2 linked regions of the Danio rerio genome follow. The protein of the gene in region 2 purifies or fractionates together with the protein of the main gene of each other region. This does not show direct contact. Links are inferred from orthologs where the notes say so. Each region holds a gene or a part of one and is shown on either strand. Other genes may lie near its edges.

Region 1 (7,533 bases), on a different chromosome or scaffold from region 2:
TACATACACTGTATAAAAAGGCACATGACCATTCAAAAAAAAAAAGTCAGATGTTAATTTGGCTAAACGTTTTCTCTTTTAGGTAAAAGAAATCAAATTTGTTTTTGTTATTCTTAATGGCAGAATAATGAGAGAAATATTTTTTGATAAATTGATACAACTTTTCTTGAAAGTCAAGTTTACATACAATAAGATTATTATGCCTCTGAAAAAGCTCAGACGATGGCGTCAAGGTTTTGGAAAATTCTGATTGGCTAATTGACAACATTTGAGTTAATTGGAGGCACAACTGTAGAAAAGTATTTAAGGAAAACCTCAAACACATTGCTTCCTTGTTTGACAGCATGGAATAATCAACATGCCAGAATCAACAAATAAGCCAGATTACAATTTGCTAAATTATTATTACATTTTTGGAGACATGTCCTGTGGTCTGATGGAACTAAGATTGAACTGTTTGGTCATAATGACCAGTGTTACATTTGGGGGACAAAGGGGAAAGCTTACAAGCCTAGGAACACCTTCCCAACTGTGAAGTATGGGGGCGGCAGCATCATGTTGTGGGGCTGTTTTGCTGCAGGAGGGACTGGTCCACTTCACAGCATAGATGGCATCATAAACAAAGAACATTATGTAGAAATACTGAAGCAACATCTTAAGACATCAACCAGGAAATTAAAACTTGGCCACAAATGGGTTTTCCAAACAGATCATGACCCTAATCATACTGCCAAATTAGTTAAAATGTGCTTTAAGGACAAGAGTGAATGTTTTGGAGTGGCCATCACAAAGCCCTGACTCAATCCTATAGAAAATTTTTGGGCAGAGTTGAAAAAGCTTGTGCGAGCAAGACAGCCAACAAATCTGACTTGGTTACACCTATTCTGTCAGGAGGAATGGGCCAAAATTCCTTCAAACTATTTTGAGAAGTGTATAAGGATACCCAAAACATTTGACCAAAGTTATACTGTTTAAAAGCAAAGCTAAAAAATACCAAGGAAATGTATGTAAACTTTTGACTGTCTAGAAATTAATAAAAAAATCTAAAACAAAAAAATTCTCTCATTGTTCTGACATTTAGTAAATGTAAATCATTTAGGTAATCCTAATGGACCTAAAATAGTAAACGTTTAGTATATTTACCATCAGACATTATTTTAAAAAAAAAGGTTATGTTCCTTTTTAGAATATATGTAAACTTCTGGTTTCAACTGTATATTGCATTTAATATATTTTAAAACTTCAGTGTCATGTGATCCTTCAGAAATCCTTCTAATAGGTCTATTTTTATGTAATATTATTTCATAACATTATAGTTTTTACAGTTTGTTATGGTCTTGTTGAGCTTGTTTCCAAAACATAAAAAAATATTATATACATGTATATGTATGCAAATATGTCTACATATGTGCTAAACTAAATATCAATGAAGAAGTCTTTGAAAATATTGAATGGATGTAGTGTCTGTAGACTTGACATGTTTCTCTCTTTGTAGTCCGCTAAACGAATCCACAGGAAATCCCTTTACGAGAGGTGAGACTTAAAATAATACTAATAATTAAACATCTTTATTAAAACAGTGTTGTGGTCAATATTAAAGCTGTTTTTTTAATGATCTCATAGTTTTGTTCCTGGAGATCGATCTCGTGATGAAGAGGCAGGAATGCCAAGTCGAGATTCTGAGCGTGACCGGGAAAGGGAGATGGACTGGGAGAGAGATCGAGAAAGAGACAGAGACAGAGAAAGGGACCGTGAAAGAGGTCGAGAGAGAGAACGGGACCGGGAACGGGAACGAGACAGGAGCCGGGATGGAGAAAGAGATCGAGAGAGGGACCGGGATCGAGACAGAGAACGAGACAGAGAGAGAGATGGACCCTACAGACGTAAGGCAATCTGCGCAATTACAAATGTTCATTCAAAATAATATTAACCCATTCAGTGTTCATATTGTGTCTTTACAATAATAGTAAACCGTAAATCATGCATTTGGCTTTTTTTAAACTTGTTCTGTTGAAAATCTGTTCAGGGTCAGACTCGTATCCAGAGCGCAGAGGTGTGCGCAAAGGAAACACAGTGTATGTGTACGGCACCGGTTTAGTGGAGGACAGCTTGCGCACAGCCTTTGCTCAGCACGGCAACATCATTGACCTTTCAATGGACTCTCCACGCAAGTAAGATTATTTTCTTAAAATGCTGGGCATCTGGAAAGAGACAAACTGATTTCTTAACTGTCTATAGTAAAGTTTAGAAGATTGATTGGTTATGAGTTCCGTTGTAGTCTAAGCATTAGGAAAGTTATTAGAAGTTGAAATGGGGTCATTTTTCAAGTATTTAGGTATGCTACCGTTCACAAGTTTGGGGTTGGTAAAATCTTAAGGTGCTGAATAGTTCTACTATTATTATTCTTCCTGAAATGAAGTCTATGGCAGCACATTGAATTGAACATCTGACAACATTGGGGTCTCTAAGATTAACTCTATAGTGCCACCACTAAAATATTACAATAGTTATTCTGTTTATATTTTCTTAAATTCACCTTTCAGAACTACTTTTAAATACTGTGCTACCTACATGAGAGCTGAAAAATGACTATTCAACAGCTTGTCAGAAAATAAAGGCCAATTTTGACATTGTATTATCTTTTAAACAATAAATATCTTTAAGCTGACAAATTGGCACAACAATTGATCTTGAATGCAATACTTAATGAATTTCAAGTATAGTGCCACCTAGATTTGCAGAGATTTTTTAGCAAAGATGTCGATTTTAACTTTGGAAAACATTGTCCAAGATTAGTTGTACTATTCCATTCCTTGTTTTAATAGGGTTCTGATTTGGGATATTGGATATTTACCTCCTTTTTCAAAAATGTCTTTCTTACTTGGATTACAATCAAACAGGTTTGGGACTAGTGAAGGGAAATAAAGTGATGAGAGAATTTCCATTTATGGGTGAACCGTCCTTTTGTCAAACTTGTTAATATAATAATATTTTTAAAAAACCCTACAGACCCCAGTCTTTTAAAAAAGCAGTGCATGTCTGAGAGAAGCCACAATATTGAACTAATAATTTTTGCCTTCATTCTTTTGCCAGTTGCGCTTTTGTCACCTTTGAGAAGATCGAATCAGCAGACCAGGCTGTGGCGGAGGTCAGTAGTCCACTTTCAGCAGCATCATACTTTTATACTTTAAAGGGCACCTATTTTACCCCTTTTTCAAGAGAAGTCTTTTGTGTCTCCAGAATGTGTCTGTAAAGTTTCTACTCAAAACACCCATCAGGTTATTTATTATATCTTTTTAAATCTGGGAAATTTGAGCTGTTAGGACATTGTAGCTGTTTTTGTTTTGTAGCCTGTCCCTTTATTGCAACTGAGCTAGTTCTCCTCAACTACTGTTACCACGTGCGTGTGCAGGAATAATACCATGGGAGTAGCATTTACCTGCTGCGTCTCACTTAGATAAACAGCACAGTGACAGACAAGAATGAAGCAGATCTCTCTTACTACAGTAAGAACTTTTCCAATGGTTATTTGATGAATTTGTTGTGGAGTTAATTCAAGCCTTTCTGCAACGATGAGTCACACACAATGTCGTTATGAAGTTAACACACACACACACACACACACACACACGCGATTGCTGAGACTTATTTTAGTATGTTGATGTATTTCCATACCCGGTAGGCTTCTTACTGCCACCCGCAAGTTTGTACACGTTATTCCTATCCTGTGCTCCCTAAATTCGTTGCCGATATGCTTTAGAATGGAGTTTAAAAATGTAATATATGATTTTTAGGTTATTAAATGGCCAGCCTCCGACTTATCTCTCTAATCCTAATACTGTTCAAATATCTGGCAGATGTTTAAGGTCCAGAAAATGCTAGTCGCTCCCAGATCCAAATAGATGAAAAAAGGAGATTAAGCTTTCTCTGTAGTAGGTGGGAGAAAATTGATCCTCTTGTACCTATCTGGGGCCGAAATGTACCTATCTGCACGAAGACTTGCGTTGAATTCATACTAAAACATTGCGTACGCACAAAGCTGTAAATGTGTGTACGCAGTAAAAAATTCAGATGTATGAAACAGTGCGTACGCGGAATCCCACGCATATTCTCTTTGTACATCTGAATTAACGTGAAACTGAGCACACATGCACGAACACAAAACCCCTCCCTGCCTCCTCCCCCTAATGAATATGGTAATGACTCTACTTTGGCAAAACCAAACAAAAAAGCAATGGCAAAAGCAAGCAAAAAGAGAACCTTTGAACAGAATGTGAATTGGAGGTGCTTATTTCATCATTAGTAAATCCAAACGTAAGAGTGAAATCTGGCGTATGCAGTTTTTGTGCGAACGCAGCATTGATACATGAGGCCCCTGGTGTCTTCTTTATCGCTGATACTTTGTGGTATGTTGGATGTATTTTATCTGTTGGTCTATTTTTGATAATTTGCTTTTAGGATTGTACAACACAATGGTCAGCAACTGTTGTTTTATTGCACTTTCTAAATAAATAAACTAAACTAGAATAACAATGTATGCTAGCAAAATAGATATGATAAGCTTAGAAATGATTAGGGGTTAAGTGTGTGTGAATAATCATAGGTTGTAGTATCTTTCTTCGTTTGCTGAATGAAAACTCTTTCTGTCTGTCAGCTGAATGGCACCACTGTGGGTGACGTCAACATCAAAGTCAGCATTGCCAGGAAGCAGCCCATGCTGGATGCCGCCACAGGGAAATCTGTCTGGGCTTCTCTTGGTAAATAAGGACATTTCACAGGCGAAAACTGCCAGAGTGTTGCACACTTGACTAACCCTTTTCTATTTCTGTCTCCTTCTACTATCTCCTCCTTATTTATCCTTCACAGCGGTGCAGAACAGTGCCAAGGGCTCGTACAGAGACAAACGGAGCCAGGTCGTCTACAGTGAAGATTTCCTTTAGTTACTTGACATTTGCTTTTGTTTTAAAACGTCGGCGTGAGATTTTGTCTAGGTACAGCAGACATGACTTTCACAGAAGTAAATCCTACTTTTCGGTTATTAATAACGCTCAGTGTGGACATTAAGCCCACTCATGTTTATGTCATTGTGTTCAATAAATCAGTCAATAAAATTTTCCATCAACATGTGCGGGGTGACGCTTCATAATATGTGCAAACACAATCGATTCTGATTGTAAATGTGCAAAAAATCAGTTTTAATGAAACGTCAATAAAGCATACCTTCGGAGGCAGAAATTAAAAGCCAGGCTGAGCTTTGAATTGTTGGGTTTCTGCTGTGTGGATCAAGCTTCTCCCTGCAAAAATCAACAACATTAGATGCTATTGATGAAATGAGCTGTAGTTCAGACACTGCAGTGCTCCAGCATTGCCTAAGGGGAAACAGAATACTGAGAATACAAATGCACAGGCATGCACTGTTACATAAACCATTTGCATACAGAAATAAATAACCTTATATACACACATTACTCTGTAGGCCTGTGTTTTTTTTCCCTATTTCTTGCCCCATAAAATAAGAATTTGTTTGAGAAAGAATATCATATCGGTAACACTTTAGAATAACTATCCGTTATAACTAGTTATTAGACCATTAATAAACTGTTAGTTAACAAGTTATAAATGACTTGTTAAACAAAAGTTAATAGTTTGTTAATTATTTACAACTGTACCTTATAGATGGCTAATAGATAACTTACAAGCCGTTAGTTGACAAGTTGTAAATGGCTTCTTAACTGTGTTTTAATTATTTATAACGTTACCTAATAAATTAGTAATAGATCATGAACAAGCTGTTAGTAAATAACTTAATAAAGGCTTGTTAAGTATCAGTTAATAGTGTATATATGTTATTGGGACGTTATTCTAAAGTTGCAGCTATTCTTCATTTATTAACTGTTAGTAAATGAGGAATAGTTGCAACTTTAGAATAACGTCCCAATAACATGCTTAAGCTAATAACTAACACTTAACTATTATATTTACTCACACTTTACAGATCAGTTGTTCACCCTATAATAACACCAGTGAAACTTTTTTATTAGACCACTGGTGTAATTTTAAATTTTTATTTATTTTGTTTTCATGTTTAGCACTTCATGGGTTTGTATTCTTGCATACTGCTGTACTGCCATGTCATGGTTCAGTATGTGTGTTTCTATACATTAAAGACAACTTTTAACATTTCATCTGTGGAGTTTCTTTGGTAAAACACAGCACACAGAAAAGCCTATAAGTGGAACAAGGTTTAGAAACAAACATTTTATATTTTAAATATTACATCAAATTTCTGTAGCTTGAACTTATTCCATCCATTTGCTGTTCTACAAGGATTCATTGGTATAAGTAGATGGTTAACAAACGATGAACAACTCTCGTCTGTAAAGTGTGAGTAAATATAATAGTTAAGTGTTAGTTATTAGCTTAAGCATGTTATTGGGACGTTATTCTAAAGTTGCAACTATTCCTCATTAACTAACAGTTAATAAATGAAAAATATCTGCAATGTTAGAATAACGTCCCAATAACATATACACACCATAACTGATACTTAACAAGTCTTTATTAAGTAATTTACTAACAGCTTGTTCATGATCTCTTAAAAATTTATTAGGTAACGTTATAAATCATTAAAAAACAGTTAAGAAGTCATTTACAACTTGTCAACTAACGGCTTGTAAGTTATCCCTTGCCCATCTATAAGGCACAGTTGTAAATAATTAACAAACTATTAACTTTTATTTAACAAGTCATTTATAACTTGTTAACTAACAGTTTATTAATGGTCTATTAACTAGTTATAACGGATAGTTATTCTAAAGTGTTACCATCATATCCTTTAATTATTATTATTATTGAATGAATGAAGTGCAACACATTAAAAACAGTCAATCTGTAAAAGTGCGACATTATCTTAGCAGTTTTTCAATGAAAACAAAGTGGTTAATTTACTGTCAGGTATCTTGTAAATGCATACATTCTGACTTTAAAAGTTGGGCTAATTTAAGATAGGGCTGGGCAATTTGGCCTAAAATCAAAATCTTGATAAATTGAACATTTTAACTCGATTACGATGAATGAATGATCATTTTTTCAATTTATTTTTTCCCCTCATAGTTCACTGATTTTTTAATAACGGAAGCGTTATTTGTTTTTAAAATAATTGAAGGAAACACACTATCTACTATCTGTGATTATTTATGTGATTTAAATAGTTTTAAAAAAGTTAAAGCACACATTGCCTAAAGTCAGTCAGTTTTTTTCTTATTAAAAATTAAAAACACTAAAAAATAGATTATTTTGTTTCCAAAAGTGCAAGTTATTTAAAGTAGAAAATAAGCAGTATGTCTTCTAAATAAAATAACTCTTGCATATCATGTAAATATTTTATTAACAGTGCATTTCTTGAATATTCAGTAAATAAAAGTTTCATGTAAATAATAATTGTATTCTAATGGAAAAGATGCTGTTTCAAGGCATCTAGCTTTCCAATCATGGTCAATGTACTGCAAACTTTCAACGTTATATTTTTTTAAG
Region 2 (8,761 bases):
AGCTCGGCTCGGAGTGTGGCGCTCTTGGGTTTCCTCTTGAGCTGGAAGTGTTTGATGGGTGGAGTGAGCGGCCCCACCAGCGTGGTCAAAGCACTCTTGTTCAGATACTGACACTCCAGAGGCAACATGGTTGACGCTTCACATTCATTTACTGTGTAGAAATACAACATGTTACAAAAGTACTACATTTTAGTAGGTCTTTTCACTAATAAATTAAAAAAGGTGTTCTAATAAAAAGGATGAATACTAAATGTAATGATGTATTATATAAGCATATTTCTAATTTGAAGGTGCTCTATGTGAGTTTTTGACTCTTCAATCGTAAAAAAGCATATGTTTGCAGATATACAAGAAACATACATGCAAGTACACATAATTGTTTATCTGACTAAAAAGGCTAAAGTCAGTTATTCTCCGAAAAATGTGTGTTCCTTGTCGAAATGTCTGTCTTTGTTTTGGTCTGAGTAACTCCACCCACTGCCAGAATGAAATGAAACTTGCCTCAATGTATGCAGGACAGTAGCAGCCTCCAAAATGAGACACAGATTCAGAGTTATAAAAATCCACATGAGGTGGTTTTTAACTAGCAACTAATATAATATGCTACAAATGTAAACATCAGCAGAGCAGCTTTCAGTGTGAGGATATGTGTGTCATCAATCTGGCAGCATAAACCACGGCGAATGAAGTTCTGCACAAGACTTTTGGCCAGCGGAGAAATTAAAATGGTCGTGCCCTACTGAGTCTGGTTCTCTCAAGGTTTTTTTTTTCTTCACTCCCATCAGGTGAAGTTTTTTTTCCCTCTCCGCTGTCGCCACTGCCTCACATGGTTCAGGATTGGTAGAGCTACGCATCGATGAATTTGCTCTTCAGTGTTTGAACTCTCAGTAATGATTAAATCACACTGAACTGAGCTAAACTGAACTGAACTGAACTTAAACACTAAAACCTGAACCACACTGTTCCAGTTACTGAACCAAACTGTTCCAGTTACTATGACCATTTATGTGAAGCTGCTATGACACAATCTACATTGTAAAAGCGCTATACAAATAAAGCTGAATTGAATTGAACCTGCACGTGCATCGAGTCGTTGAAAAATAAATACCCTCGCCAAATTTAGAATATGAACTGCAATCCTACATACTGCAATTTTTTTAAACATCACTTTTATAAATGTTAACATTAGAATTATGTTATAAATGTATTTAATATTGCTCTTTGCAACCATTTATGGACACAAAACATATTTTTAGATTTTTAGTCTGAGGCAGTAATACAAATATCAAAACTCACTAACAAAGACATCTTTCTGACATCAAACTGAGCAAAATACACAGCCCTAATATCTAGTCAAAGAAGTCAAGGATGGGGAAATATGTGGGCTGTAGACTGTTTTGACCCTCTCCTAATACTGCAATGGGCTATATGTCCACAGACTTTTACTTTTCAGCCAGGCAGCCCAATGACTTCCACTGAACTGTCTTTCCATTACAAAACTGTCATGTTTAAGATCTAATTTCTTTAAAAGTCTGTGATCTTCACTAGCTGCTAAATATACGATATGAAATTGGTCTCTAATCGGACAAGTAGTACTGCATTTAAATTCCATTTCCCCCCACCATGTCTTTAAAATATGAGTCAATCTTACCCCAGTATTTTCAATGGAATTTCTGCGCTGGCCTTTTGCTACTTCTGGCACAAGTGATTACAACAGTCATGTCATTTCACGCTTGAACGACTACATGAATGCTTTAGTCTATTTAACTGAATGTATTGTAATTACATCACAACATTGATGCTGTAAAAACAACCTTGTGAAATTGAAAATAGTCACATTAAGCTTTCACCGGAAGTTTATCATTGGCTTTAAAACCCTGGCTGTGCATAGAGCCCATTACTGATGTCAGACTGACCTTTCTCACGCAGTTCTCCAAGGATGTCCTGTACATTAGGGTTCTGCTCCTCCAGGTCCAGGTTTAGTGAGCCGGTCTCTGGGAATGATTTCAGGATGTCAGCCACCATTAACACCCAGGGCTCAGAGTCCACTGTGGCCAACTGAATGATCTCTGACAGAGCCTCCTTCATCTGAATTATTAGGGAAGAATCAAGAAAATCAGAGACTTAATCTAGCCAGACTGTTCAATGAATCTGCCACTAGTGCACTGACCTCTCTAACAGAAAACACTGCTATGGAAAAACGAGGCCACTTCCTCAGCTAATCTCAGGATGTGTTAGGTCTGGGTAAAAAGTTAATATTTGCTTTTTTCTATTAAAACCTGAAACATTTCTTCAGGAAAAAAGAGCATTCAGACAATTGTTTTTATTTGTTATGATTCAAAGTTATCACAACAAAGTTATGATTTCTCAACTTATCTTAAGTTAAAACATTGGTGATGTGTTGTCTAAAAACAAATAGAAACATGTAAATTATTATTATATGCTAAACATCTAACTGCAAAAAGAAACAAAGCTTAAAACGACCAATTAATTTTAAATTTAGAGGAAATGTCATCAGTAATAATATAGTAAATTTATTTAACACACTTCCCTCCAACACAAAGCTATAGATCCAGAAAACTCATTTCTCAAAACATTATTTAATTTAACTTTGTTTTTACATTATAGAAACTGCAGATTTTCTTTCCTGAGGCCATAAGCAATTGACAGGAATTCAGGCTAATTTAGTGAAACAATGAATATCTTACACTGTTTAAAAATACATAAATAAAGAAGATCAATAAACAAAAATGTCCAGGCAGAAAATGAACAGTACATTTTCAGATGGGGCTGCGTGATTAATCGAAATCAATTTGAAACGTTGCGACTAAATCGCAAGAGGCTGCAATATGAAATATATTTGTATTATTTAATTTCTCCTGCCCCGGGCTTATGCATGACTGCTGTCTGTGTGTGATAGTCTTACCAGCCAATTGAGAGAGCATAATTTGAGTGATGAGTGTCTTGCTGAAAAAAATCAGCTGAAAGTATTGCCAGTGACACTCAATCTAGTAGCAAGCAACAATTTCAGAGTTGTTTTTAGCCATGTTAACTTGCCAAGTGTTCTGTATAGGTGTATACATTCCTCCCTAATTTAAGTTTAACTTGTTTACAGAAAGGTAAGGTCATTTGTGTTTACTGTTTGCTCTAGGAAAAAAAATGACGGTTTCACTTCTGAATAGTTAAAAATACACTTGAATGAATGTTTAAGTTAATATCTTTTCAATAAAAAAATAAAAAATAAAGAGTAGTTGGATATTTTCCCCAAATCGCATGCACACACATTATCTATTTATTATTAGAATATTTTTATTTTTACAGAAATTGGTTGGCAATTTTCTTCCATATGTCAGGGCATTTTTTATAGTAAGTTATGCTACACTATTAAACACAAGACAATTGCATTTTTAATCACTCCATGTATGATTTTTTTAAAAACTTACGGTGGCACAGCAGGTAGCACAATTGCATCACAGTAAAAAGTTCACTGGTTTGAGGCTCGGCTGAGTCAGTCAGCATTTCTGTGTGGAGTTTGCATGTTCTCCCCATGTTTGCGTGAGTTTCCTCCGGGTGCCTCGGTTCCCCCACAGTCCAAAGACATGTGGTATGGGTGAATTGTTAGTTAAATTGTCCTTAGTGTATGCGTGTGATTGTATGTTTCCCAGTACTGGGTTGCAGCTGGAAGGGCATCCACTGCGTAAAACATGCTGTATAAGTTGCCATTTCATTCCGCTGTGACGAGGCTAGATTAATTAAGGCAACAAAAAAAAATTAATGAATGTACTTTGTATATTTCAAACAGCACAATGCAAGTACTATAATCCTTATTTTGTTAAAACCCCTTAAATTTGATTGAACATGGTTTTAACTCTACATAAATGTGTTTCGAGTGTGCACAGACGCTTTCTCATACTCAAAACAAGATTTTTGTCGTCTAAATACGTTTGTCATGCAGTTTACTACGCTGCCACAGTGTTACAGTACTACCACTGACTGTTATGACTGTAGTGTTTAGGCGGAAACTAGTTACTGGAGTACATTTGAAAAGGGGGCGTTTTACTCGTCCAAACAAATGACCAAACTCCATCAGAATAACATTAACTTAAAACAACACTGCCAAAGTTGACTGCACGTTTACATGCATGAAGCTATTAAGTTATGGCAGACCCGGGGACAGACAGCAGCCCGAGCAGAGCTCTGCTGGAGACTGACATGAGAAGACAGCAGCTGCAGGAGACTCATGGTGGAAGCCATGTTATTATTACACATGCAACACAGACGAGCCAGCAGCACACAACTACTAATAAACAACATGCCAACCCGATACAGCGAGCGACAGTCGGAAGTAAAGTCAGAGTGTGAGTGAGCGTGTGTGTGTGTGTGTGTGTGTAGTTCTGCAGTCGCACCTCATCCACGGTCCTGCGCGGGAGGTGCAGCATCCCCAGCAAGAGTTTCAGCTTCACCGGTGGCGAAAGACTGGAAAAACACAGCCGAATATTATCGATGACCGACACGGTGAGAAGGGAAGCGATGCTCGAAGGAGTCCACAGCTCGTCCGTCGATCCGAGTTTGTTGTGGAGCCACAGGCCGGTGTCGCTCTCCCTCATCGACGCCATCTTGGAAAAAGGCGAATAATGAGATCGGGCATTTTAACAGGCTACCTAAGAAAACAGACACACGCGCGCTAGGACCCGTGTGATCGCGAGCAGAGCTCGGAAAACTTTTGCAAACATTAAATGAGTGAGATGCACGTAACAGGTTTTGTATTGCATATCTTCGTTTTGTTTCTGATTTCACGTGTTATGTTTTGGCGTTGTAATGTTTAACTAACGTTAATGTATAATAAAACTACTTATTTTGGCAAACATTTTGTTTACATCTGTTTTATTATCATTATTAATAATACATGGCTTCTGCAGGTTTCACCAAGTTAAATTTAAGACTTTTAAGAGATTTGTAAGACTATTATAAATTAAATTTTAGCCTTATACAAGGATAAATGCTAAGGATTTTAATTGAATATCCCTGTTGTAAAAGATTTTCACTTGCCCTATCAAAAATTATTCATTATAATTTAATAAAATTAATAATAAAGTAATAATTTAATATAAAAATGTAGGCCAGGTCAGTATCTGAATAAATGGAGAACTTTTAAACAAATGTTACTGTAAGGAAAGTAATTAGATGCTATTTTTTAAATGAAAAGTTAAATGATTGGAATTGTTGGTGATAGTATGGGTGTTGATGTCCAGATTGGGTAGCTAAACATGAACAAGGAACAAAAATGAATGATAAAAAAGTCAGACCTACAACTACAACACAATATTTCAGTAAATTTTTAAGGTCTAAAATGTAGCTAGATTTAAAGATTTAAAAAGATTAAGACTCTGTGGATACCCTTTACATAAAACATTAAGCCACAAAACAAACAGCGTAATTTTTGCCCAAGTGTCGTTTTTTTATATATTAAGGTCAATTCATAAAGCACCGATACATGCTAACAGACGTGAACCGTCATGACATGTCACTTCTTAGAATCTACAACCCAACAAGCAACCAATTCAGCATTTTAAATCAGAGAAAAACAAGACTGGTCAGAAACAACAGCCTGTCCAGGCCAGTTTCCTCAGCAGTAAACACATGGGGAACTTTTAAACAAATATTATTATGAGGAAAATAATTAAACCATTATGGTAAATAGAGTTAAAAATGAAATAAAAAAATTAAATATGTAAATGAGATAGATTGTTGATGATTGTATGGGTGTTAATAGCCAGATTGGGTAGCTATACATGAACAAAGGAAAATTAAGACATGTAAAAAATTTACATGATTAAAGATTTAAGACCTACCACAAAATATTTCAGTAGATTTAAGACTTTTTAAGACCTTAAATTTAGCTTTTGAGATTTAAGACATTTTTAGAGTTTTTGAGACCCAGCAGATACCATGTAATAATAACAACAATCAATGCTAATTTTATTATGTGAATAAATGCGGAACATTTGTGTTTTGATATTCTCACTTTGCTTATTAAATTATGTTTCCGACAGTATGTTACACATCTATCTATCTATCTATCTATCTATCTATCTATCTATCTATCTATCTATCTATCTATCTATCTATCTATCTATCTTAGTATTAACATTGTAATGCACCTTCGTTCCGGTGCATATAGTAAACATTATGTGATTATGTATACAAACAGGCTAATGCAACAATCATAAAAATAGGGAAAACAAATATAACAGCTTTGAAATAAACATATATACAGTGCTCAGCATTTATAAGTACACCCCTTATAAAATTCATTTAAGTCTTTAAAATTCATATTTTCTATAGGAAGCTATAAAATATTATATTTGTTTGTATGCATTAGATTAGTCAGCACTGAAGCCAAATCTGGAGCTTATCTAACAAAACAACTTGCAATAACGGTCCAAAAACTAGTACAGCCAAATTTATAAGTTATAGAAAACATTAAATACAAATTTTAAAAAGAGAAAAAAAAAACCAGAGAAGTAACAAAATGGAAAAACTGAGTTTTTTGTAGGTTGCAAATGGTTTTGCAATATTTAGCTTGAATTTGATTGTATGATCTTTCAATATCTAAATATGTTTGGTGACTAAAATACTATTTCAATTAATTTATCTGTTTAATAATTATGTTTGGTTTAAATGCACAAAAATACATTGCCTATATTTACTGAGAAATTGATAAAAATATTAATTTTCAAAATGGGGTGTAACGTTATGCTGATCATTGTATACATTATGCACAACCTGGTAAATATATAACCATCTGGCGAACATACCATAACGTCCCCAATAATATCTGTGTAGCCTTAATTCATTCAACAAAATAAACAAACTTATTAAAACAAATGTTGATGTGAAATCTGTCTAAATCACATTATTAAAAAACAGAACATAGGTGCACTTTCAAAGCGAGGAAGGCTGAAATCCATGTGACCACCTGTAGCCAATGAGAGAGAGAAACGTCAACTGGGCTTCGAAAACATTTGGGACTCAATCCTACGGCGCACCGCGAAGGACAATAATCATAAAAACGCGATTGACGCTCCGCAACGAAACTGCGTCCTGTGAAGGAGGGCGGTGGTTTGACTAACGGTGCCAGTGTCTTCATCAGAAAACTACAGGTAATGCAAATTAGCTTGTTGTTCCACTTTAATTAGCATTAATAATGCACCTTACATTAGAGCTATTTGGTCGTATTTGAAACGGACCATATTTGTTAGCATTATCAAGACAAAGACAAAAATCGACAGGCTCTTTATTTACGTTTGTGCCAGACTGTCATTTTCAAAGCATTTCTCAGTTGTTATTCGCTTTTCTTAAAACGTCGTCTGAATGACTACATGTAATTATTAGCTCATTTGTGTGTGTGTGTGTGTTTTCTCGCTGTGGCAGGTTTATTGTGTGTGTGCGGCGACAGTATGAGGCCAAGCGGAGCTCTGGCGGCGGCGGCGGTGATGCTGATGCTGCTCGTGTGTTGCCAAGCCGAGGACTCAGGCTCGGTCATCCCGGCCGAGAGTAAGCCTCAGTCTGCTTTTTAGACGAGTGGGCAACAGACATGCATCATTTCATGTGTCATCATCGCATCGTATGCCCTGCGCTACGGTGTTTTCCTGGCTCTTGCTCAGCCTTGGTGATGAGGAAGCAATGCAGCCTTGTTGTACTGATTCTAGTTTGTAGTGTAGTCTGGTTTTAGCTTTGAGGGGGTGAATAATAGACTACTAAACAGTTTTTATGGTTTCTCTGTATTTGACATTAAAATAGGTTCATATTTTTTTACTTTGTAAAGTCTATCTCTCTCTATACAGTTGGAAGTCAGAATTATTAGCGCTCCTGAATTATTTTCCCAATGTCTGTTTAACGGAGAGAAGATTTCTTCGACACATTTCTGAACATAATAGTTTTATTGACTCATTGCTAATAACTGATTTACTTATTTTTTTCTATGATGAGAGTAAATAATATTTTACTTGATATTTTTCAAGACTTGTTTACTTCTATCCAGCTTAAAGTGATAATTAAAGGCTTTACTAGGTTAATTCCGGTTAATTAGGTTAACTAGGCAGGTTAGGGCATTTAGGCAAGTTATTGTATTATGATGGTTTGTTCTGAAGACTATCGACAAAAAATATAGCTTAAAGGGGCTAATAATTCTGTCCTTAAAATTTTATTTAAAAAATTAAAAAACTGCTTTAATCCTAGCCTAAATAAAACAAAAAAGACTTTCTCCAGAAAAAAAAAATATTATCAGACTTACCGTGAAAATGTCCTTGAACATCATTTGGGAAATATTTAAAAAAGAAAAAAAATTCAAAGGGGGCTAATAATTCTGACTTTAACTGTGTATCTGAAATTATGGAATATTTCATATTGACCAGTTGACATTTTCTGCAAATAAATAGTGTAAATGATAACAATCTTATTTAAATTTTTGTTTGCCATAAAATAAAGCCAAAAAAAAAAAAAAAAAAAAAAACAGCATTTTATATAAAACTATAAAATGTCTATTAATAGCAAATTCAGAGAAACAATAGCATTTTTTATGTGGTCTCACTTGTTTTTGCTGTACTTGAGTTTTCACTTTTGGTTGTGAATTTTATATTTGAAATCTAAAACACATTTTACAAAATGTTCAAATTTAGGTTCACCATTAATTCAGTTTTTATTTTGATTGAATATATGTAATGCCTAAACATTTAGTTATTAAGTTTTTATTTAATAA

Evidence for each region.
Region 1: the proteins of nelfa (region 2) and nelfe purify together in Homo sapiens (affinity purification with mass spectrometry; 9 studies listed by BioGRID and IntAct, counting the BioPlex papers as one, with this or other methods). This does not show direct contact. The link is inferred for Danio rerio from reciprocal best matches to the Homo sapiens genes NELFA and NELFE.

What each region holds. Positions count from the first base shown.
Region 1 is NC_133194.1:29,342,913-29,350,445, forward strand, and holds the end of nelfe (negative elongation factor E), read left to right. Parts: intron 1-1,495; coding exon 1,496-1,533; intron 1,534-1,623; coding exon 1,624-1,883; intron 1,884-2,026; coding exon 2,027-2,171; intron 2,172-3,093; coding exon 3,094-3,148; intron 3,149-4,654; coding exon 4,655-4,757; intron 4,758-4,866; coding exon 4,867-4,940; 3' UTR 4,941-5,124; downstream 5,125-7,533. UniProt on the Homo sapiens protein: Essential component of the NELF complex, a complex that negatively regulates the elongation of transcription by RNA polymerase II.
Region 2 is NC_133182.1:24,475,240-24,484,000, reverse strand, and holds the start of nelfa (negative elongation factor A), read right to left. Parts: upstream 4,688-8,761; 5' UTR 4,617-4,687; coding exon 4,407-4,616; intron 2,089-4,406; coding exon 1,917-2,088; intron 152-1,916; coding exon 1-151. Other genes in the region: nicol1 (NELL2-interacting cell ontogeny regulator 1 precursor), read left to right, coding at 7,461-7,557. UniProt on the Homo sapiens protein: Essential component of the NELF complex, a complex that negatively regulates the elongation of transcription by RNA polymerase II.